Linked DNA regions of Neurospora crassa OR74A. The protein of the gene in region 1 interacts with the protein of each later gene in a pairwise test. Links are inferred from orthologs where the notes say so. Each region holds a gene or a part of one and is shown on either strand. Other genes may lie near its edges.

The links.
Region 2: the proteins of NCU03050 (region 1) and NCU02781 interact in binary tests that used the Saccharomyces cerevisiae proteins (3 or more experiments, as listed by UniProt). The link is inferred for Neurospora crassa OR74A from reciprocal best matches to the Saccharomyces cerevisiae genes ARC35 and ARC40.
Region 3: the proteins of NCU03050 (region 1) and arp2 interact in binary tests that used the Saccharomyces cerevisiae proteins (3 or more experiments, as listed by UniProt). The link is inferred for Neurospora crassa OR74A from reciprocal best matches to the Saccharomyces cerevisiae genes ARC35 and ARP2.
Region 4: the proteins of NCU03050 (region 1) and NCU09572 interact in binary tests that used the Saccharomyces cerevisiae proteins (3 or more experiments, as listed by UniProt). The link is inferred for Neurospora crassa OR74A from reciprocal best matches to the Saccharomyces cerevisiae genes ARC35 and ARC18.

What each region holds. Positions count from the first base shown.
Region 1 is NC_026501.1:8,291,094-8,297,032, forward strand, and holds NCU03050 (ARP2/3 complex 34 kDa subunit), read left to right. Parts: upstream 1-2,066; 5' UTR 2,067-2,308; coding exon 2,309-2,373; intron 2,374-2,470; coding exon 2,471-3,135; intron 3,136-3,186; coding exon 3,187-3,287; intron 3,288-3,343; coding exon 3,344-3,472; 3' UTR 3,473-3,475; exon of another isoform or gene 3,476-3,606; intron 3,607-3,691; exon of another isoform or gene 3,692-3,728; 3' UTR 3,729-3,757; downstream 3,758-5,939. Other genes in the region: NCU03049 (flavin-binding monooxygenase), read right to left, coding at 3,758-4,650, 4,826-5,013, 5,081-5,242, 5,316-5,511, 5,595-5,614, 5,700-5,768, 5,856-5,939.
Region 2 is NC_026501.1:9,215,076-9,220,434, forward strand, and holds NCU02781 (hypothetical protein), read right to left. Parts: upstream 3,234-5,359; 5' UTR 3,010-3,233; coding exon 2,787-3,009; intron 2,704-2,786; coding exon 1,861-2,703; intron 1,794-1,860; coding exon 1,753-1,793; 3' UTR 1,462-1,752; downstream 1-1,461. Other genes in the region: NCU02782 (hypothetical protein), read right to left, coding at 1-1,017; NCU02780 (U2 small nuclear ribonucleoprotein B), read left to right, coding at 3,802-4,086, 4,151-4,462; NCU02779 (hypothetical protein), read right to left, coding at 4,641-4,820, 5,082-5,315. UniProt on the Saccharomyces cerevisiae protein: Functions as a component of the Arp2/3 complex which is involved in regulation of actin polymerization and together with an activating nucleation-promoting factor (NPF) mediates the formation of branched actin networks.
Region 3 is NC_026505.1:6,357,014-6,362,542, reverse strand, and holds arp2 (actin-6), read left to right. Parts: upstream 1-2,375; 5' UTR 2,376-2,578; coding exon 2,579-2,603; intron 2,604-2,827; coding exon 2,828-3,259; intron 3,260-3,321; coding exon 3,322-4,052; 3' UTR 4,053-4,435; downstream 4,436-5,529. Other genes in the region: NCU17050 (hypothetical protein), read left to right, coding at 71-337; NCU07170 (hydantoin racemase), read right to left, coding at 721-1,401, 1,466-1,576; stk-8 (serine/threonine-protein kinase prk1), read left to right, coding at 4,997-5,054, 5,128-5,529. UniProt on the Saccharomyces cerevisiae protein: Functions as ATP-binding component of the Arp2/3 complex which is involved in regulation of actin polymerization and together with an activating nucleation-promoting factor (NPF) mediates the formation of branched actin networks.
Region 4 is NC_026507.1:962,422-967,747, reverse strand, and holds NCU09572 (ARP2/3 complex 21 kDa subunit), read right to left. Parts: upstream 3,235-5,326; 5' UTR 2,981-3,234; coding exon 2,975-2,980; intron 2,734-2,974; coding exon 2,341-2,733; intron 2,216-2,340; coding exon 2,036-2,215; 3' UTR 1,701-2,035; downstream 1-1,700. Other genes in the region: NCU09571 (tRNA (adenine-N(1)-)-methyltransferase non-catalytic subunit trm6), read left to right, coding at 1-1,435; NCU09573 (hypothetical protein), read left to right, coding at 4,841-4,854, 5,054-5,326. UniProt on the Saccharomyces cerevisiae protein: Functions as a component of the Arp2/3 complex which is involved in regulation of actin polymerization and together with an activating nucleation-promoting factor (NPF) mediates the formation of branched actin networks.

The DNA.
Region 1 (5,939 bases):
AGAACGACGATTTTTCGGAAATTTTACTTTATACTAGTAAGTTTATTTTAATATAATTAAAAATATACAAAGTTTCTTACCTATTCTATACCGCTATTATTATTAATAACCTTTATAGTCCGAAATTTAAAGCTATTGTAACCCTTTAAGTTACTACTACTTTTACTCCTACTAAATATAAATATAATTACCCCCCTAAGGTTAAAAGAGAATTGGAGTAGTAGCTTCTATATATATTCCTAGTTCCTTCTACTATTATTCTACTTATTCCTATATACGGATAATTACTAGAGAATATATTAGACTATAGTATATTAATTAAAGAATAAATATATATTTTTAGTATTAAAGCTATTTAAGGTAGTAATGTTGAATCCGACGACGGTGGATATAGAAATTAAAAGAGACGTTATATTAAAATTAGAGAAAACGAATATAAATAGTATTTTTATAACGCTAATAATTATAAATAACCTTTTTATAATATTAATAACGATAGCGAAATTCTATTAGGCGGTAATATTATAGTAAGTAGAAATAACCTTCTTAGTTATATTGCTCCGCTGGGTAGTAATATTCCTAGTTCCTCAAACTTTATCCCCGACTATATTACTCCGCCGGAGGTTTTTGCTTTGAGTTTTAATTTTACTATATTTATGGAGGTACCGGTAATTACTTAGTCCCCTAATAAGTTAGAAGAGATTTCTAAGCCTCCTCCCCCTAATATTACTATATTTACAATTATTTAGTCCTCCAACGAATTAGAAGAGATCCTAGAACCTCCTAACTTCTATAAGTATAAAGGAGAGTATAAAATAGTTAATTAAATTACTAATTATAAATACAATTTTATTAAATTCGAAGGCGAAATTTAAGTTTCCGATTTAATATAAATAGAGTTTGTAGAGCGCTATTATTGTAGGGTTGATGTAAATAATCTTAATGGCTTCTACGAACTATGGATTCTAAATCGATATTCTATTAATACTTCTTTAGATTTAATGAAGAATATTAAAGAGGCTAGAAATTAAATTCTAAAAGATAGTTGTGGTTAGTATAGAATACCCTCGCCTAAATTCGAATTCCCGACCGAATACCTTAATAAATTTCACCTCTCTAAGGAAGAATAATTCCGGAGGATATTCGTCGCTAATAGTTAGCATTAGCAAAACCTACAATTATATATATATTAGGCTATAGTACCCCTCGATCTTCTTTAAGTTATTTTTTTTCTTTCATTTTTATAATATTATCCCGGGTTATTATTTACAATTAATTTTATACGTTGTTTTTATTTAAAGCCGGAGCTAGAGTTTCTTATTTTCTTTTCGCTATACTCTCCTATTGTTATATTTATATTAAGGAATATATATTTTATACTATTATATTGAAATAGTTATAAAGGAGGCGTACTTAGAGTAGGCGAATATTATTAACTACCTATATAGTACCTATACTCCAATTTTCTTATATATATAAGTTAGAGTTTTGGCTTATAATTATTAAAAAAGGATAGAAATGATAGGAACTATAAAGAACCTCCGCTAGGTAGCCCAAATAGGTAATTTAATATAGCGCTTTCTCCCTTACTACTTACCTCTATTAATATAAATATAATATTACTTAAAAATTATTGTAAAATAATTGTAAGACTTTTAGTAATTAGAATATATACTAATTATTAAATAGATAAATATAATTAAATAATTATTATATTAATAAGAATATTAGCCTGCAACTAGTAATTCAAGCGAGTATATATGTTATATTGCACATTTTGTGGCTTAGGTCGCATTATTGTAGTACAATTTGCTGTTGTTATACTTTTGTACGCTGTTGAACGGTCAACTCCGTTTCGTACCCAATACTACGTTAATAGTCGCTGTACTATTAATTAAAACTATACATTGCAAAATAAAACCAATTTTAATATAATAATATTCAACTATTTAGTAGATTACAGTAAGAAACAATACTGTATAAGGATGTTGCAGCCCACAACCCCTGCTCAAGCGTTTTATACTACAAAGGCCTGCTACGCCCACTTTTGTCAGACCCCCCATTCCCTCCAGGGCCTTGTTGGCCCATTCCACCTGCAGCTGCTGAGGTGCCGCTGGAGGTGCTGCTTGCTCTGTACACTAACACTGCCCGCCCGTGCTGAGGGAGGTGACCGCTCTACATACCTCTAAGATTGTAGCTACCTACCTATCACGGCCCCACCCCCGACACTTGAACACACTACGCAACTGACCCGACCCGGCTTCAACAACTCGACGGCGCCGGATATATACGAGGAATCACAGTCAACATGCTCCTGCTCGACTACCAGAACGTCCTGATTCAGGCGGTGCTCACCGAGCGTTTCGCTCCTGGGTATGTTTACCACGTCTCCAGCCCGAACGCGCAGTGCGCCTGTCCGCCCCTGAACTTGCACTGACGACGCTGCCGCCGCCGTCACCGCGCATTCCAGAGCTTCCCCCGTCAACATCGACCAGACTGTCTCCGACTTTGACGGCGTCGTCTTCCACATCTCCACCCCCGAATCCAAGACCAAGATTCTCGTCTCTCTCCAAATTCGATGCTTCCAGGATCTCGTTCGCTACGGCGCTGAGCAGGTCCTCAACCGCGAATATGCCGATCTCGTTGTCCCTCCCGAGGCCGGCTATGACTTTTCCATCCAGGTCGACCTCGAGAACCTCCCCGCCGAACAGGAGGCCCGCGATGCCCTTGTCATGAAGATTGCCTTGTTGAAGCGCAATGCCATGGCCGCGCCCTTCGAGCAGGCCTACCAGGAACACTACGCCCTAAAGGAGGAAGCGTCCAAGTTTACATCCGAGGAGGCGCCACAGGGTGTCCGTGAGGGTGGAGAGGTCAAGGCTATTCACTACCGAGAAGAGGAGGCTATCTACGTCAAGGCCAGCCACGATCGTGTGACCGTCATATTCAGTACCATTTTTAGGGAAGAAACGGACAGAGTATTCGGCAAGGTCTTCATCCAGGAATTCGTCGATGCCCGGCGCAGAGCCATCCAGAACGCCCCCCAGGTCCTGTTCCGCAACGACCCTCCTCTCGAGCTTCAGAATGTTCCGGGGGTGAAGAATACTGGTACAGGCGAGATTGGTTATGTCACTTTTGGTATGCCACATCGTGAAACAAGCTATATCTGGGATTGACTAACGGTAGCAGTCCTGTTCCCTCGCCATCTCACTCCTCAGCGGATGCCCGATGTTATCTCCCATATCCAGACCTTCCGCGACTACTTCCACTATCACATCAAGGCCTCCAAGGTAGGTGCATTGGGAAACATGCTACGCAGAGATCTCCATCTGACATTCCATCCCAGGCGTATATCCACTCGCGTATGCGCAAACGCACCGCCGACTTCCTCCAGGTTCTCCGGAGAGCCAGGCCCGATACCGAAGAAAAGGAGAAGAAGACAGCAAGCGGAAGGACATTCAAGGCTGGCGCTTAAGGAGTTCGTGCAGCGGTTTGTGTATCACGTTACTCTGCCTTTACTTGAAACCCGTCATGTTAGTCTATCGGCAAAGGCGGCCGAAGATGACCACTTACAGCTACCACCAAAGACAGACAATATTAATCACTACCCTAATCATTCCACTCGATTTACATAGTGAACGTTGATCTTGCGGCTTTCCGATATACCTGGCACACCGGAGTTCATTCTAGCCCAAGATACGTGAAGATTGCTTTTGGCTAACTAGTTTCAGCTAGAAATTTCCTATAACCGCCACCGCCCTCAATGCGACCATGGCTTCGACTTATACTTTGGGTTCTCCTCCGGCTTGCCCTCCCACGGAAACTCGATTTCCTCCGGATTCAAATACCAACTCGGATCGCCCTCTGTCTGCGTCAAACTCCATCCATTCCCCAACCACCTCAGCCCATTCCCACTTTTGTCAGCACCCTCATACATCCAGTCCTCCCACCTCGGGCTCCTCAGCGTCTCAACAGCATGCTGCGTCGACCCGGGCCACAGCGCCACGATCCTGTTTCCCGTCCCACCCTCCGACCGATACCAACTCTTGCACTTATCCAGGTACACCGTATCCTTAAAGTAGGCATCCACAAAGGCCACAAAGTCCCGCACTCGTTCCGGCTTGGGCTCCATGGACGCGTAATCCTCCTTTTGTAATTTGCGGATTACCGAGACGATGTAGTCTACCTGCGCCTCCAGGATCCGATTCAGGCTGCCGAACCCGATGGTCGTATTTGGGCCGAACAGCATCAGATAGTTGGGGAATCCGTCGACGGCTAGACCGAGGTAGCTATCGGGGTGTTGGGACCAGCGGGAGGCGAGGGTAAGTCCGCGCCGGCCGATGATGGGGAAGGGTGGGGAGGTGCAGGCTTGGAAGCCGGTGGCAAAGACAATTACGTCGGCGTCGATTATCTGTTTCTTTCCTTCCACAGTGGCGAGCGCGATGCCGGAGGAGGTAATGTGTGAGATGGGGTCGTGAATTGCTGTCACGTTGGGTTGTTGGAGGGCTTCAAGGTAGCCCCTTCCTGGAGTGAGGCGCCGGCAGCCAGGGGCGAAGGCCGGGATGATCTTGGCTAGCAGGTCGGGACGAGCCGACAGCTTGGATTCCATGTCCGCTTTGAAGAAAGCTTGTCCCTCGATGGTCATCGGGTGGCCTGCCATGGTGGAGTTGTGGAGGGAGGTGCCAAAGTCTTCAAAAGCTTTGCGGAATTTGAGGAGGGCGGGGCGTCGGAGCGGAAGAGGGCTTTTTGTTCTTCGGTGACTGGGTATAGGTTGTTAGGCTCTTTTGTTCACGGAGAGGTCCGTGATCTACACAAGATGAAAACTTACACTCGGTTACTTTGGGATCCAGTCCTAGGTCTTTCATGGTGTTATCACCAAAAGCTGACGATATCCAGGTCGGTGATCGTATGAAACATGAGAGCGTCGTTCCTTCGAGTTTCTGGAGCTTGGGAACGATCTGGATGGCACTGGAACCGTTACCCACAACAGCGATCTTCTTGTTGCGGAGGTCATAACTGTAGGTCAGTTAGCACGACACCTTTTCAGGACTGCCTCTGAAAGGCCAGTCAGACAACCTCTTACCTCTTATCCCACGCCCCCGAATGCATCTTCTTCCCCTTAAACTGGTCAATTCCCAGAATATCCGGCCATCGCGGCTCGCTAAGCTGACCTCGAGCCGTAATCAGCACGTTCGCCGAATCGGTAAACACCTCTCCGGTAACCAGATTCATGACTTTGAATTGCCTTTCCGTTCACGTTCTATTAGCCTGTCTGTTCTATTTGACGTGTGTGAAACTGGTCTGAACTTATAACGAACCATTTCTTCTGCCCATCGTCCCAGACACATTCCTCCACTTTATGTGATAACTTGATGAACCTCGTCGCTCCGAATTTCTCAGCCACGTCCTGCAGATATTTCTGGATCTCGTGGCCTGGCGCATAGAGGTTGGACCAGTTCGGGTTGGGCGCAAAGGAGAATTGGTATGAATGAGAGGGGATGTCGCAGGCGACGCCTTTTGTTCGTTTTAGCTGTCGGTTAGTTGATCTGCTTTGGTTTCCTACTCCTGTTTGGGGACCACGACCAGGTCGTACATACCTGGATATGTGTTCACCCACCTTTTTGTTTCTTGCAGTATCAGTGTCTTTGCTTGGTGAATGACTGGCGGTCCAAATGAGTTCATGAGGAAAAGCGTGGACTTACCATGTCCCTCCGACGCCTTCGTATTTCTCATAGACCACTAGCTCGACATTTCGTAGCTTCTCTGGTATTCTTCACAGCACACCCATGTTTGTCAGTATTGAACCGGTGGTACAACTATTTCATCAGCCTAAAGCGGGAGGTAGGGAAGCAACTCACCTAATCGCTGCCCCGATACCACTATACCCAGCGCCAATGACAACTACCCTCAACGGTCTAAGATTTTCCACTACCGTGTCTTTA
Region 2 (5,359 bases), about 920 kb from region 1:
GGTTTCCCAGGCACGTACCCTCCTTGCCTTAGCCTTAGCCCTCGAAGCAGAAGACGGTCCATCCCACCTGATGGGTTTGAACAGGCCCATCTTTGGCGTTATTGTTGGTTCCATTCCCATTCCCATCGCCGTACCCATCATCCCTGCCACCATTTCCACACCGGCATTGGCACCAACGCTAGACACCACCGACGGCACCATCATAACCCTCTCCATTACCACCCCTTCCCCCCTTTCCTCCCAAGTCTTACTACCACTGACCCCACTCTCCTCCGTCCCTAGGGGCACGTATCCCACCACACCTCCCACCACACCTCCCACCGCATCTTCTTCCACCTGCTTCATCTGTTCTCCCTGTTCTCCCTGTGGCACCCGCGGCACCCACCTCTTCACCCTCTGCTCTAACGGTATCGACACCCAAGGAACCGACTCCTCCTCCTCCTCCTCCCGCTTAATCACCACCACTGTCTCCTCACCGGAACTGAACCCGCTCATCCTCCTCCTACCACTTCTTCCTCCTTCCCTACTGAGGGGCAGTGACAGTGGAGAAGGTACCGATTTACTTGGTCCCGGCCCCATGGTCATCATCGTTGATTGCCGCTGGCGTCGATGCTCCTCGAAACCTGGTGCTGGTCGTGGTAGACTTGGTTCCAGTACCCCAGGTAAGTAATTCGAAAATGATTGCTCAACAGACCTAGACCCCACTGTCCGAGGTGGATAGGCGAGTACTGGCTCGTTGGAGAATAAAGATCGAGAAGAGCGGGAAGGATGCCGATGATGATGATGATGAAGGATGCTAGCGGCGGTGGTGGTGTTGACAGAGGAGTTGGCGTTGTAAATAAAGTCGCTTGGTGATGCGGGAGCGTAGTGGTGGTAGTCTTTTTGTTCCTCTGGTTCTGGATGACCAGGAGGAGGAGGAGGAGGAGGAGGAACATGAACAGGAGATACGGGGTTAAAGTACAGAGGGTGTTGGGGGTGGTTGAATGGGTAGTAGTCGTAGGAACTGTTGTGGTCCATGGTTCAGTTTGTTGTTGTTTGGTTCTTCTGATCCCGCTGTTTCTTCTTCTAACCAGACAACGAAGTAGGCAGGCAGGGAAGATGGAGGCAAAGCGAGGTAAGTTGAGTTTGTTTGGATAGCTGAAAGGGACGGAGTGACGGACGGCTGATTACTTATGGTAAACTGCTTTTGAAGCTGAAGGTCTGGATGAGGAGCGAAAGGATATGGAATAAATAATCGACAGGGACAAAACAATGGTAGGTATGGACATGAATTGTGACATGCACTTCTCCTGCTGCCGGTTATTAGTTCTCTTATGATCCTTTTATGGAAGTTATCACGGCAAATCGGAATGTGTCCGGCAAGCCACAAGCGGAAGTCAATGAATTGCTTTGTATGTATTGAACCTGTATTTGTTCTTGACTGTGTGTCTGATTCACACATACATATCTTGCAAAATTGGCCGGGCGGTCATGACAAACGGATAGCTCACTGTGGAGAAGTGACATGATAAGTCTCTGTACAATGGGTGAATGGACAATCAATCACTTTGGCGGATACCGGGAAGCACGGATAGGGCAGAAATCAAAGACCGGGAAAGTTACCCGCTAAACTGACATTGATGGATCTTGACTTTGAATCTGATTCATTATCAGCCATTCACTCTTGTTCCATTAACATTAGATGTTACGCTTGCTTGCTTGGCTTTTCTGCTTCCCAATGTGTGCAGCAACCCTCTTTCATCGAGGGGAAATCTAGGTGTGCCAGATGACGACTCTGCCGTCAACACCGCTCGCTGTTGTGTCAAGTTAGCATCAATAATTCTTGAAACCACAGGTCATGTAAAAATGGGGAACACTCACAACTAAACTTGGTCACCCGTCCACCACTCTCCTCAAAGGGCCTCAACATAGTAACCGTATTCTGATGCACCGTCTTCAACATGGTATCATCCTTGCTGACCTTACCCTTCAGGTCCATCTGCTTGAACATGTTCAGCGCAGACTCCTCTCTGTCCTCGTCACCAAGACCCGGTCTTCCTCCGGCCTTGGCCTTCTCCAGCGTGCCGGCCAGCTGCCACCCCTGCTCGCCGCCTTGGAAGCGGAAAGCCTCGCAATCGTAACCCGCAGCAATGATCTCAGTCTCTCCGTTCCAGAAGAGGCTCATAAAGGGCAAAAGCTGCGTGTTGATGCTGATCACCGCCTTGGGCGGCTGCTCGGGCGCAGAGGGGTAGACGACGGTGATGGAGGAGTCATGCGCCGCAAACGCCAGAGCGTCGCCGCTCGGGCTGAAGGCAACAGAATGCACCCATCCGGCAGAGTTGTTCAGGAACTCGCCGCAGACCGTGTTGAAAGGCAATCTCTCGCCCCAGGGGCTCGGCTCGGGGCGCTGGTCGGTGCCCTTGATGAAGGCGGAAAAGACGCGGGCGTGGGCGTCGGTGGAGCCGGCAGCAAGAAGAACGCTGTTGGGGTGCCAGGCGACAGAGGTGATGGTGGATCGGATCGGCTTCTTCAGGTGCTTGGATACCCACCAGTCGTTTTCCTCCTCAAAGTAGCAGATGGCGATGACGCGGTCGCCGGAGCCGACGGCGAACTTGGCTTCCGAGGGAGACCAGCGGACGAAGGTGGCGGCGCGGGAAATACGGAGGAGCACGAGGGTGGGCTTGTAGCCGGTGGGGGAGGGTTCCCAGACGAGGGCGTTGCGGTCTGTGAGTTGGGGTTGGTTGTTAGTCTAGCTGACTGTGATGGTGGCATTATGGGGTGCCTGGGTTGCGAAAGGGGGGGCCTACCCTGAGAGCAGGTCACAATACGCCCGGTGTTGGGAGCAATGTCGACGCTGGTGACAAGCTTGTCATGGCCCTTGAGCTCATCCTTGAGCTTGAAGGCATTGCCGACTCTGCCGTAGAGCTCGACCTGGGTGTCGCGGGCAATGGCCAAGGTCTGGCGATCGGCCGAGAAGGAGTGGTCGGCGATGGGGTGGTGGAAGAGATGGTGGACCTCGGGAGCAGCCATTGTGGGTTGTTAGGTTGGTGTTGTGTAGAAATAAGGTATGCGATAGGAGTATAGCTCTCTACTACCGCGCTCGGAATCGGGGACGGTGATGACGGAGAGTGTGATCGAATGTCTTGGTTCGGTGGTGTCGGAGCCGGATGTTGTAATTGGAAAGGGGAAGCTGTGCCCGGGAACGGGAAGCGGGAGAGCTCCGTAACTACAGCGGGCTGGACGCCTGAAATGAGGTCAGACCGCCAGGCTCCAGGGGCACCGTTGCGGCAGCGTATGGTGGTGGGGTTGGCTGCGGGTGGGTGACGCCGCCAAGAGTGCCCTGCTGCCGGCCGGGGCTGACCCACCTGGAACTGGAACCTACTATGGTGAGATGGGTAAGTTAAACCCGTGGATCAGGTCGTCGACCACACAGTGCTCACGAAGCTCTGGCTGTGGTGGTCCGTGCAAGATACCTGACAAGGGGGTTTTACTTTTGCTCGCAACCGCAGTACCTCCAACAAGCTGCACCCACGCCCGTGGGGTTTGTGTACCGATTTCGATGGTTCGTAGGCTGGCTGGCCACTGTCTCCAATTTTTGGACCAGCATCTGAATTGTCGACATCGCATGCGCCGCCGCGACTTGAATTCATGATTGAACACTGAACATCATACACCCGAGCGACGACGACGACGACGACGAGACAATTGACGATATTAACCCCTACCACGAGGCGCCTACGATATACTGAAAATCTACGCGACAATTAACAACCTGCATTGGACAAACAACAACAGCATCAACTCCCGGATTCCTACGCGGCAATGGCTACGCGTATTGCTCCCCCCGCGGGCCTCCCCCAAAAGGTGGTCTCGAACCCGCCAAACCAGACTCTCTACGTCACGAACCTCCCCTCAGCTAAGATCCAGAAGGACGACCTCCGTACAGCACTATACATGCTCTTCTCCACCTACGGCCCCGTCCTCGATGTCGTCGCTCTCAAGACCATGAAGATGCGCGGGCAAGCACACATTGTCTACCGGGACATTCAGACAGCAACACAGGCCATGAGGTCACTTGACGGCATGGAGTTTTTGGGCCGCAAAATGGTAGGTCTTCTCGGGTTGAATATTTCAGCGGTAGCCCTTCACATGCTAACTTGGGTTTGCCTAGAAAATCACCTACGCCAAGGGCCGCTCCAACATCATCGCCAAACTCGACGGTACTCTCGTGCCACCCAAGGCCGCCGCCGCCGTGGCCCTCACCACCGTCCAACAGAGTATCTTTAGTGCCCCAGTACCAGGCGCCCCTACTACGAATACCGAGAGTCCAGCACCACAAGGTTCGCCAGCCAAGCCTCCCGGGACGGAGACAACCACACCGGCAGAGGAGAACCGGGGAACGAAGCGGCCACGGGAGGAGGAGGAAGAAGAGGAGGAGAGCGATTCGGACGTTGCTATGGAGGAAGACAGCGACGAGGACTGATGGGTGTCCACTATGGCATTTGCTTCTTGTTTAAGATACCAGCTCGCGGTGGGGAAGGATGACGAAAAATGAAGGCGCAATGAAGCGGATGGATGAAAAATTCGCCCTCTCGAAGGACAATGCAGAAGACGCACCGCTAGCTGCATGTACAACATACACCGCGCTACTCCCACTTCCTCTAGGCGGAGGAAGGCTCCAAGGCCATTTCCTTGGGGACCCAAAGGCTGACACAGCCGCCGACGAGTCCAAGCCAAACCATCAGGTAGTTCTCGATCGAGACATTGTCAAAGGTCGACATGGCCTCGCCGAGGAGACAAGGGTGGACGAAGAAGGTGGGAAGGCCTGTGATGGGATGATACTGTTTGTATGGCCGAAATAATTCAAAAGAAGGGACATTCGTGTGTTAGTATAGGCACCTTTTTTTTTTCTCTTTCTCTCTCTTTTTGTCCTTCTCATATCTTTATGTTTCACAACAAAGTCACAAAGAGCGAGAAAAAGGAGTTCAGCCCTAGTTAACTTTTTGGTGTTTCAACAGCGAGAAGATTGAACCCACCCAAATCGCAAGACACAAATACAAAGAACGAGATGAGATGAGAAGAGAAGAGAAGAGAAAACTTACATCAGCTGAGATACCACCCACGGAACCCGCGCGGCGAAGTCCATCTTTGAACTGATCGGGTACAAGACGTCGAAAGACGGTGTCGATGTTGAAGGCTGGTTCATCCGCCGGCAGTCCGTTTAGTGAAAACCACAGACAAGGCGCTTGATATGTCGGGTGAAGGTGTATTTCGTATGTGACGTAGCCATAACTTGTCTTTTGCTGTTGTTGATGTTTAGAAGGCAAAACCATGGCCTTTTCTCCCCCAGTAAACCACATATTATCAGCATTCCACACCC
Region 3 (5,529 bases), on another chromosome or scaffold:
TCTGCTCATCATTCCGGGCATCATTGTCTGGTTGGCCCTGAGTATCCTGAGATTTTGGGTCAGATCGGAGATGATATGGACGGCCATGCACGGTGAACGTTCGATAACGGAATTCCCGAACGCAAACAACAAAACTCGGCGGTATCAGCTCACAACATTTTGTTTGGTATTCTTGATATTCCTGATTGTTTGGCCGCTTGACATGGGATACTACATCATCACTTGGAAACCCGTTTCTGCATCACCCGACAAACCACTGCTGCTATCGAACACCCGCACAGCACCGGCAGAACAAGAACCACCACCGCCCTACTATAGTGCTATTGGTGTTGCATAAGGGGGGAGTTCATAGTGTACTAGACAAAATCTACTTCGAATAGTCCTAAAGGTTATATGGATAAATCAAAAGGAGTTAGTTGGATTTGCTTTGGCATTTTGAATGTTAGAGATGGCGTGCCCAAGGTTAGATTGTACATTAGTTAGCCATGAAAACGCATAGGAAAGTTGACACGAGGTCTCGAACTAACAGACCAACCAGTACTAGACTGTATGTATTGCATTCATGAATGAAGCCTTGAGAGAACAAACTATGATATACGATGTGACTTCTGCCCCGAGAGCTTGGAAAAAGGCAGGGGGCACTGCGACGAACTTGCGTACAAATCGCTCGAAAGGAAATCTCCAGCTTCAAAGCTAATTCCACTCCCTTTCCGTCCCTACCTACTGGGTAAACATTCTCCTATTTTTCACCATCTCATCCACCAGCCCAACTCCCGCTCTGACTCCATCAACAACCATGACCTTCTTCCCCCTTTCCTCGCCGTACTGCTCAATCGCAGTCCGGCGAATGATTTGCTCCAGTCCAGCCATGCCCGCACATCCCATCACCACACACTCCACATCCCCAGCCTGCAACAACTTCTTGGTCGCCTCGGCCAGTTTCGCATCAATCACCTCCTTGGAAATATCTCCATGGAAATCCCCCGCATCCAACCCCGTCGTCTGCACCCCGGCAAACTTTGCATTATTTCCCCCTTTCTCCTCTTGACCCAAGAATTTCTTGACTCCCACAGTCAGGTGCTCCTCCCAGTACTTGCCCGTCGTGACAATGCCCCATTTCTTCGTCGGGCCCGTGAGCAGCGACAGGCAAGTGAGGACGGATGCTTCAAAGATGCCCGTGACGGAGAGGGGAAAGCCGTTGGATGAAGCGAGTTCCGAGAGGCCGGGGACGAGTTGGTGCACGGAGTAGCAGCATACTAGGACGGCGTCGTGGTCTTTGAGGAGTTGAAGGTTGCTGCTGAGGTCTTGGAGGACGTGGGTGGCGGAGGTATCCAGGTCGGTGCCGTTGTTGATGCTGGCTGGACAAGAGGTAGGGGCTGTGTAGTAGGTGATTTTGATGTTCTGGAGGGGGGTGTTAGTCCACGTTTTCGGTTATTAGGGGTGGAGGAGAGAAGGGAAGACAGACGTCGGGGAGGTTTAGGCTGGAAATAGACTTTGCCATGCCATCGGTCATGGACTTGGAGGAGTTGGGGTTGAGGATCAGGATCCTGATTGGTTCTTGCTGGGCGGTAGTCATGTTGACGAAGGAAGGGGGGTGAGTGAGTGAGGTGAATCGATAAATGGTCTGAGAGGGAAATAGTCAGGTCTGAGTCCATTTTGGGAGGTATCATGAAGTACTCAGTTTGAAAGATTGACGATGGTAGAACCTGAATGGGAACAACCTACTAGTATCGTAATGAGTTGGTAAAATACCGATTGTATCGACGGCCTGAGTGAGAAAGAATAAGGCAACAAAGGGTCTGATAACCACAAATGAAGAATCAAAAAAAGAAGGGACGGGAAGAACCAATATCAATCTCCACTCTCAAATGCACAATCCATCCCGTCTGATCTCTCACGATGCCCAACAAGGTGCATGTACTACTGAAGGTACAAGTGCGAGTCTCATGCGGGGTATCACGTGGGTACCCTAATGCCTGCCACTTCCTTGGGGTCCAGAATCCTGCCAAGACCCGCTTGTCATCGGCGCTCGTCCTGGTCAAAATAATCGAGACCTTTGACATGATACCTTGGCTCCTTGGGTATACTGCTGACTCTCAAGTTCTAGGCAATTACAGAATGAAAATGTGTAAATAGGGCTCTAGCTGAGGTCTTTTTGAATTGTTATATTCCCTGTCACGGTCTTGCAGCGGTCTTTTCTATGATCTTGACGTCTAGTGAACTGGTTTACCTAGCCTGCTCGCTCGTCTCCTTTATTTTGGCTCAGACGAGCGGCGCCCTGTTTGAAGGAAAGCTTGGCAGTTAGCGAATGACCCCACATATCGATGCTACCCCCCCAGCTAGGCTACCGCGCTGGACTCCAGCTAATTACGGTGCCGTAGTCCACTTCGCTACCGTAACCCGGACAGGGCACCGACACCACTGCACCGACCGACCGACGGGACCACCGACACTTGGTTCCTGTTGATTCACCCGCGGGAGCTTTCCATTCTAGCTCCGATATACACTCGATATTCGAAACCCCGACGAAGCTATTCGCAACTCCATTGAAAGTTACCAAACCAAACAGCCGCCCAGCATGGCCAACACCGACGCTCCCATTGGTACGTCAGCTCTTCTCTCCGCCAACAACCCCTTATCCATCTGGTGTCTCGAGCTCAAGCTACCTTGACGACCACCAACACCACCACCACCCACCCATCTGCCTGACCGCGTCATCACCGTCGCCATGGCAGCTGTAGCCGTCGGACTCCGTCCTCAATCACTTCCACTTCACAACAACAAAATGAGCACAGCGCCCAGCTAACACTTCCCCCCTCGAACACAGTCCTCGATGGCGGTACCGGCTTCCTCAAGGTCGGCTACGCCGCCCAGAATTTCCCCGAATTCCAATACCCCTCGATAGTCGGCCGCCCCATTCTCCGCGCCGAAGAAGCCAAATCGCTTTCCGACTCCTCCGACATTGTGATCAAAGACATCATGTGCGGTGACGAGGCCGCGGCCGCCCGTACCATGCTCCAAATCAGCTACCCGATGGAGAACGGCATCGTCAAGAAGTGGGACGACATGCAGCACCTATGGGACTACACTTTTCACGAGAAGATGAAGGTCGATACGCGGGGAAGAAAGATCTTGTTGACGGAGCCGCCTTTGAACCCGTTGAAGAACAGGGAGCAGATGACCGAAGTCATGTTTGAGCGCTACGACTTTGGGGGTGTCTATGTCGCTATCCAGGCGGTGCTGGCATTGTATGCTCAGGGTATGTCACCGCTCCTTTACACGGCGACTTGAGGAAACAAGTAGCTGACAGACAACGCGCAGGTCTCTCCTCTGGTGTCGTAGTCGACTCGGGCGACGGTGTCACGCATATCGTTCCTGTCTACGAATCCGTGGTCCTCAACCACCTTACCCGCCGCCTCGATGTGGCCGGCCGCGACGTCACCCGCAACCTGATCGCCCTCCTTCTCCGCCGCGGCTACGCCCTCAACCGTACTGCCGACTTCGAGACCGTCCGCCAGATCAAGGAAAAGCTCTGCTACGTCTCGTACGACCTCGAGCTCGACAAGCGCCTGTCCGAAGATACCACCGTCCTCGTCGAGAGCTACACCCTTCCCGACGGCCGCGTCATCCGCGTCGGCTCCGAGCGGTTCGAGGCCCCCGAGTGCTTGTTCCAGCCGCACTTGGTGGATTGCGACCAGCCGGGTATCGCCGAATTCCTCTTCAACACCATCCAGGCCGCCGATGTTGACGTGCGCTCCTCGCTATTCAAGGCGATCGTCCTGTCGGGTGGTTCCAGCATGTACCCCGGCCTTCCAAGCAGACTGGAGAAGGAACTGAAGCAGCTGTGGTTGACGCGCGTGCTGGGAGGCAACCCCGAGAGGCTGAGCAAGTTCAAGGTCAGGATCGAGGACCCGCCGAGAAGAAGGCATATGGTCTTCTTGGGTGGTGCGGTGCTGGCGAATATCATGGCGGATAAGGAGAGCATGTGGATTACGAAGCAGGAGTGGGAAGAACAGGGCGCGAGGGTGTTGGAGAAGTTGGGTCCTAGGTAAGGGACTACCGAGGGTGAAGCTGTTTAGACTACAATAGCAGGCGATATAATGTTTTCCGTTGGTAGGTAAATAAAGGATAATGCGAGAGTTTGTTAGAGCTTGCTTGGGCTGGTGTAATTTTGTTGGTCCCGACAGGAGAAATCGAACAATGGCCTTGTGTCAAGAGTCATGGTCTTTTGGGATACCATGAAAGAAGTCCCCAATATCACAACGGCGCCAACATCAAGCAAGATGCGGACAGCGGAACGGGACGGTCCCGGACAAACATCGGGAAGACGGAAAGGTGAAATGGTCCACCCCCACTTGTTGGACATCGATACGGTACGCTAAGGCTGGCGGCGATACAGTGGCTTATCAGAGCTGACACACTAACAGAAGCAAACATCATCAGATCTCTGCTAGCCTGACATGTCGCTGGTGACGAAAAGGGTAATTGATGTTATTGTTTTCCTTCGTGTGTCACTTTGTTCTTGCCTTTGCGACAACAATATCAATCCAGCTCGTCGTCAAAATCCCCAGACCTGTCGTGTTCCCAGATCCTCACCGGCCATCTTTACTCGATTTCTCCAAACTCTCAAGCCCGGCTTCCATCGCCCAGCTACCGGCCACGCTAACACACCGTCTCCGCTCATCCATTCCCGAGTCTCACAGTGGTTTTCCCCCCGGGCCCGTGCAGATCGGGTACGGCTCAGATGACATGCCTCCGAAACCGAAATGTGAGTCGATGAACTTGATCCAATTCCTTCATTCAAAACATCATCCAGCCCTCCCAGCATGATCCCTTCAGTGTGTATCTTGTGCCCGGTTATATAGTTTATTTTCTCCAAATTCCCGAGAGCATCTTCAAACACAAAACAGACGGGCGGTGACTGCCCAGCCTCTCACTACCAAGTCACTACCTTGCATACACCAACCTCACTCTTATAAACATACAATCACCCCCCATGATGTACGGCACAAATAGAGCGAGAAACCAAAAGGCCGAAACCAGCTACCGCGGGTGTCAGTATCGCCTTTCCCCCCATTCATCTCTCATATCCTAGTCCAGTCCGACACTAACCGCCCTCAGTCTCAGACCAGCGTAGCAATGCCGGCCCCCTAAACTACCAAACCAAGGTCCGCATTACCGACCGCTACAAAGTCATCGGCTTCATCTCCTCCGGTACCTATGGCCGGGTCTACAAAGCCACCGGCCGACAAGGCCAAACCGGGGAATTCGCCATCAAAAAGTTCAAGCCCGACAAGGAAGGTGAAGCCGTCGTCAACTACACGGGCATCTCTCAGTCGGCGGTGCGTGAGATGGCGTTATGCTCCGAACTGCGAAACCACGCCAACGTTATCCGGCTCATCGAGATTATCCTGGAGGACAAGTGCATCTTCATGGTATTCGAGTACGCAGAGCACGATTTGTTGCAGATCATCCACCATCACACGCAAACGCCACGACATCCGATCGCGCCAGGGACCATCAAGTCGA
Region 4 (5,326 bases), on another chromosome or scaffold:
AATCGAGGAGTTGAAGCGCGACGGGACCAACGCCGGCAAGGACGTCATCGCCAAACTTCTCTTGTCGCATGCTGCTCTCGACCAGAAGACTAGTTTCAGTTTGTCCAAGTACAAGCTGTTGAAGACGAAGAAGTACATCAGGAGGTTCCAGGTCCTGCCCATCGACGTTCCCACCTTTTCCAACTGGCAGCTGGAGGAGAGAGATGCTAGCAAGATCTTGGACATTCGCGCCGAGATGATGGGTTTGGTCGGTTGCTGGGGTAACGTTCACTATGGCGGTGCGGACGTCTTCCTGGAGGATCCCAAGGCGACAACAGAACAAGGAGAGGAGGCTCTTGCACCCTTGCAAGAGGACTTGCTGGCTGGAAGGTGGCTAGTTGTCGATGATACCGGTGGTCTATTAGTCGCAGCCATGGCCGAGCGCATGGGTGTTCTCTACAAGGAAGATGACGAGACCGAGGAAGCGGCGGAAGAGGAGGAAGCCACAGAAAAGGCCGAGGAAGAGACGGAACCAAAACAGGAATCTGACACGACCAGCCAAAAAGACACGGAAATGATTGACGGACAACAGCAAGCAGCAACATCAGAGACAACAACTCTTCCCCGACACCCCAAGCGCCCGCGTGACAACAAGCCGCGCGACTCCGATTTCGCCGTTCCCTTTTCGCAAACCAACACCATCACCGTCCTTCACGGCGCCAGCCAACCGAACCTTTCATTCCTCAACTACTGGAACTTCGATGTCACCGCCCCACAACACCCGCCGCACCCGCTACTGAACCACCTTCTCACGCTCAGCTGGCTGCAGCTCCTCAAGCCCGAACTCGACACCTCGTACTCGACCCCTCCCCTCACTGCCGATCCCGAGACCTTGAGCACCTGGAAGCCCAGCCGCCGCGGCAACTTCCACCGCAAGCGCAGACGCTACGCCCGCGTTCGCCACATTGTCGACAGCACGCGCGCCGGCAACTTCTCCGGCCTCGTCTGCGCCAGCACCATGGACCCGATCTCGATCCTCAAGCACGCCCTTCCCCTCTTGGCCGGCGGCGCCCCCGTGGCCATCTACTCCCCTTCTCTCGAGCCTCTCGCGACACTAGCCGATTGCTTCAGCGTTGCCAGGAGGACGGCGTGGAACAGCGGACACGTGGCGGAGATCCAGGGCAAGACGGCCGAAGAGCTGGAAAAGTGGGAGGGAAGCGAGCAGTTCCCTCTCAACCCCACGCTGTTACTGGGCACAAGCATCCAGACTAGCAGGGCGAGGAGGTGGCAGGTGTTGCCGGGCAGGACGCATCCGTTGATGACGGAGCGCGGTGGTGCGGATGGATATATCTTTACTGGATGGAGAGCGAAGCCAGCGGAGGGCAAGATTGCGGCCAAGGGCAAATTTAAGAGGAGAAAGGTGGAGGAGAGCGTTTCGACGCCGGCTTCGGCATGAGTGGATTGGTCGGAAAGAGTTATTTATGGGAGTTCAAGGATGCCACTTCTCTCCCCGTGCATCGGAAGATCTCACACAGAGGTTTCCACGGAAGCAATGAGGTCGAGGGAAAGTCAGAAAGGAAAAGACAGTTAGAGCGTTTCGAGGCTCGCTTACAGTAGGTGGACTCGACCAGCCGAGGAGGAGTGGAGGCGACCATGGGTTTAAATGATTATGCTTTGTCCATGAAAGGCGGGCAAACAATGAGCAGGAGTCTGATAGTGGTAGCAGTTAGGAGAACCAGCATGACCGATATGCATAGATCTCGTTTGCTCTTAGATACCATTTGCACGAAATAGAGCTGCAGTAATTCTACTAATCGAACGTCAACTGGAGATATAACCCATGTCGCTCATGATCGGGTTTCAAGTGTATGTGTACTCGATCTATGCCTGATCGAACCGGACCACGCAAAAACAACAACAACTGAAAGTCTTGCTCGCTCGCCCCAACACACCCTCACACTCTAGGAAACTTGAAATATTATTTGTGTAGAGTACGTATTATACTTTGGCGCTAAACGATTCCATGCAACGCCATCTGAACAGGGAAGGCATCGCATCAGAGTCCCTTGCCCATGAACTTCCTCTTGGTAAAGCTCAACCACCACTTGCTCGGCTTGTCCTCGGTCTCGTCGTCGTACACGCGCGCCAATAACCTCTGCGCCAGTTCCTGCCGGACCTGCGACAGGTACTGACGGAGGACTTCTGCGTCTTGACGGTCGCGGGGGGGTTCATACATCTGTTTTGCGTCAAACTTATTAGCTGCCATCCATTTTCTTGTTCACCGCCGCGGGCCACATCTACTCCCATCACATTCACCGTATTCTATCTCCGCCCTAAATCCTTTACGCCAAAAAAACTCACCTGATTCAAAGGCCACCCAGGATCGCCCGGCAACGCAAAGTTCACATCCAGCGCCGCATTGTTCACTTCCTTCGTCGCCTCCCTAACGCCATAGTGCGGCTTGATGCGGCCCAGACAGTCGCTGATGTACCAGATGCCGTAGACCAGCAGGCGGTCGGCGGGGCCCTGGATCTCAAAGTTGCGGAAAAAGGTGTTGGCGCGGAAGAGAGCTAGCGTCTCGTCCAGAATGTCGTATGACTCCGAGTCCGGGTCGGGCGACTCGTTGGCGGCGAGCGGAGGGTCCGGGAAGGGGAGAGGGTAGATCGGCCCGCGGATCTTGGTGCGAAGCGGGAAGAGAGGGAAGTTGCCGATTAGGCGGGGGGAGGGGTCGGCGTTGAAGACGGAGTTGTAGGCCTAGAGAGTGGCGTCGTTAGTTGAGAGATTGAGAATGGGAATTTGTGTGTGAGGTGAGGCGAGAGGCGAAGAAATGCGATTGGGCGCAAAGCGGTTCGTGGTGTTGTGGGTGGTGGTGATGCGATCATGGACGAAGCTTTGTCTGACGATTAAGGGGTAGCTGGCTGGCTGGCTGGTATAGCTTGGGGAAGCTATACGCATAGCGGCTGGGTGTTGGGAGCTTGCGAATGGGTGCGCTTACCGGCATTGTGACGGTTGGTGTCAAGCTCCCTCTATGAAGCTATTACCAGATTAAGCAAATGGTGTTCAAGTTGGAAGTTAGGTAAATCTGGGATGTCGTGTTGACTTGACCGCGTCCGGGTTCTATGGCGCAGCCTTGCGGGGTGATGGGGTCAATTGGACTTGGGCTGGCCTTCCTGGACCTGCAGCGTGCCAGCGATGGGCGATGGCGGCTTCTCCTGCGCTGACGTCGAGCTGGCGGTGACGACCGCTGCTTGCACCGTGCCGCTGTGACGGACTCTGTGACAGTAGAGCTGGACTTGGTCTGTGCGTTACCTTTCTATTTGAATTTGTGGCTCAGCAGTGGCTGTGTCCGGACTCCGGATGAGGCCTGGTACAGTCAATGAAGCACTCCCGGTTCCCATCACGTGTAGAGTTACCGGAGCCGGCCTCGTCATCGGACAGGCAGCAGCTCGCTTGACTCCGATAAAGTGGATCTTTGCGGCCTGAAGTGGAGCCACCTAGTCCCGGGGGAATCGGAAGGTCTTGCACAATGCATCATCTGAAGGAGGAGAGCGAATGTGAACAAGTCAAAATGCCACTCCATTGGTATACAGAGGAAGATTCAGTTACACAAAGACTCTTCACGTGTCATGTAGTCAGCCACCGCGTTCGACGTGAGCGCCCGCTTTCCATGCAACTTAAGCTGCTGTGTCTCGGAATCCAGACAAAGAGCAGGACTCCATGCTCAAGATGGTGTTCCAAGGATCCATCCCATCATTACTCATTATGGCGGAATTTTTCAAGGAAGAAGATTGACCGAGGTTCACGCCGTGGTCGAGTCCAACAACCTGGAAGAGAGCCAACACCTGAATGTTGGTTGGATAGGACGAAGTTCAACACCGTGAACGCCGCGCTGCGCCCACCGCTGCCTGTTTGAACAACAGGGGGGCCCGTCGTCAAGGAGAGAGGAGAAGACTCAGAAAGCAGAAACATTGAAGAAACAAGAGGGGATGCCAAGACAATAAGTCACGGGAGCTCGTGTGCTAGCGCGTCGTAGATGATGAAATCAGCCAGCAGTCCAGACTTGGCTGGCTGTTGTTGGCGCAATTGTTCATCCGACGCAAATCCGGCCGGGGACTGCCACACACCCGACAGGCACACCACCAGTCGAGAGCGCTACTACGCTGCTTAGAGGTACTGTGATAGTAGTGTACGCACCAACGCGGAATCAAAAGCGCCGTCGTGCGCCGTCCACTGAGAAAGGGTGATGGAGGGGTATTTGGGGTTCTCCAGTCCCATCACATCACTCACTGCGTCACGGTTCTCTCCTCTACCTACAACTGCCTTCTTCAATCGTTCATTAAAACCAGCCCTCCGCTTCTTCACGCCCAAAGACAAACACAAGAACCCGGACAAACCCCTCCCACTTTTTTGAACTAGGAGGCAAACTTTGATCCTAGTGCTTTTTCCCCCCTCTTTACGGTGACTCAGTCGTTACCAGCGCGACTTGTTTTGGATCGCTTTTCTCCATTCCTCAAACCAAAACAAAACATCATTCCAAGCACCATTCGTTTTCAGGTGAGTTGCTTGCATGTTTTACCGGCGCTGCGAATTTGGTGTGATTTCACCTGTGTTTTGTGCGTGGGGCTGACTTGGATCAACAGAAAAAGGGGACCCCAGAAAAAGGGAACGTGCACTGCAGTGGACGCGCGCATCACTCCCTCCACAAAACGCTCTGCCGATCCGCCCTAGCAGAGCTGTCGCATCCACTCACTGCACTGCGCTCCGCCCATTGAATAGGTCAACAAAAGAAGACGACCTACCTACCTACGGACCAGGAACACTCTCCCCCCTTCGAGATAGTTCCCGTCCACTTGCTTCTTTCATGACCGCATTTGAGTACGTCCAGTCCCGCTTCATTTTGCGACTTCGCTCTTTTTTCTTCTTTCATCATATCATCGCGGCAACACTTCTTATTTCTCAAGACGACCATTCGTTCTGGCAATAGCTGCATCGCGCCAACGTTACATCCACATTACAACAACCTGGAACTACATAGCTGACGCGCGCCTCCAATCCCGGCTTCTTTTGTCTTCAGGTCCCTCATTTCTGGCAGTGGCACCTTGTTTGGACAACTGCGCGCCATGATAGAGGTAGCCATGTCAGCCTCACGCGACATAGCCGGCCCATCGCCGGGCCCTACACAACAACCCCCGGCCTCAGCCTCCGAAATTCACAGCCCCGCCTTCAGCAGCCAAAGTACCGATGCATCGACGTCATCGCCGCCGCGCCGGAAACGGACCAACCCAAAGAAACGAAAGGTTCCCCGGGTATACCGCCCCGATGAAGGCTCTATATACGACATAATGCA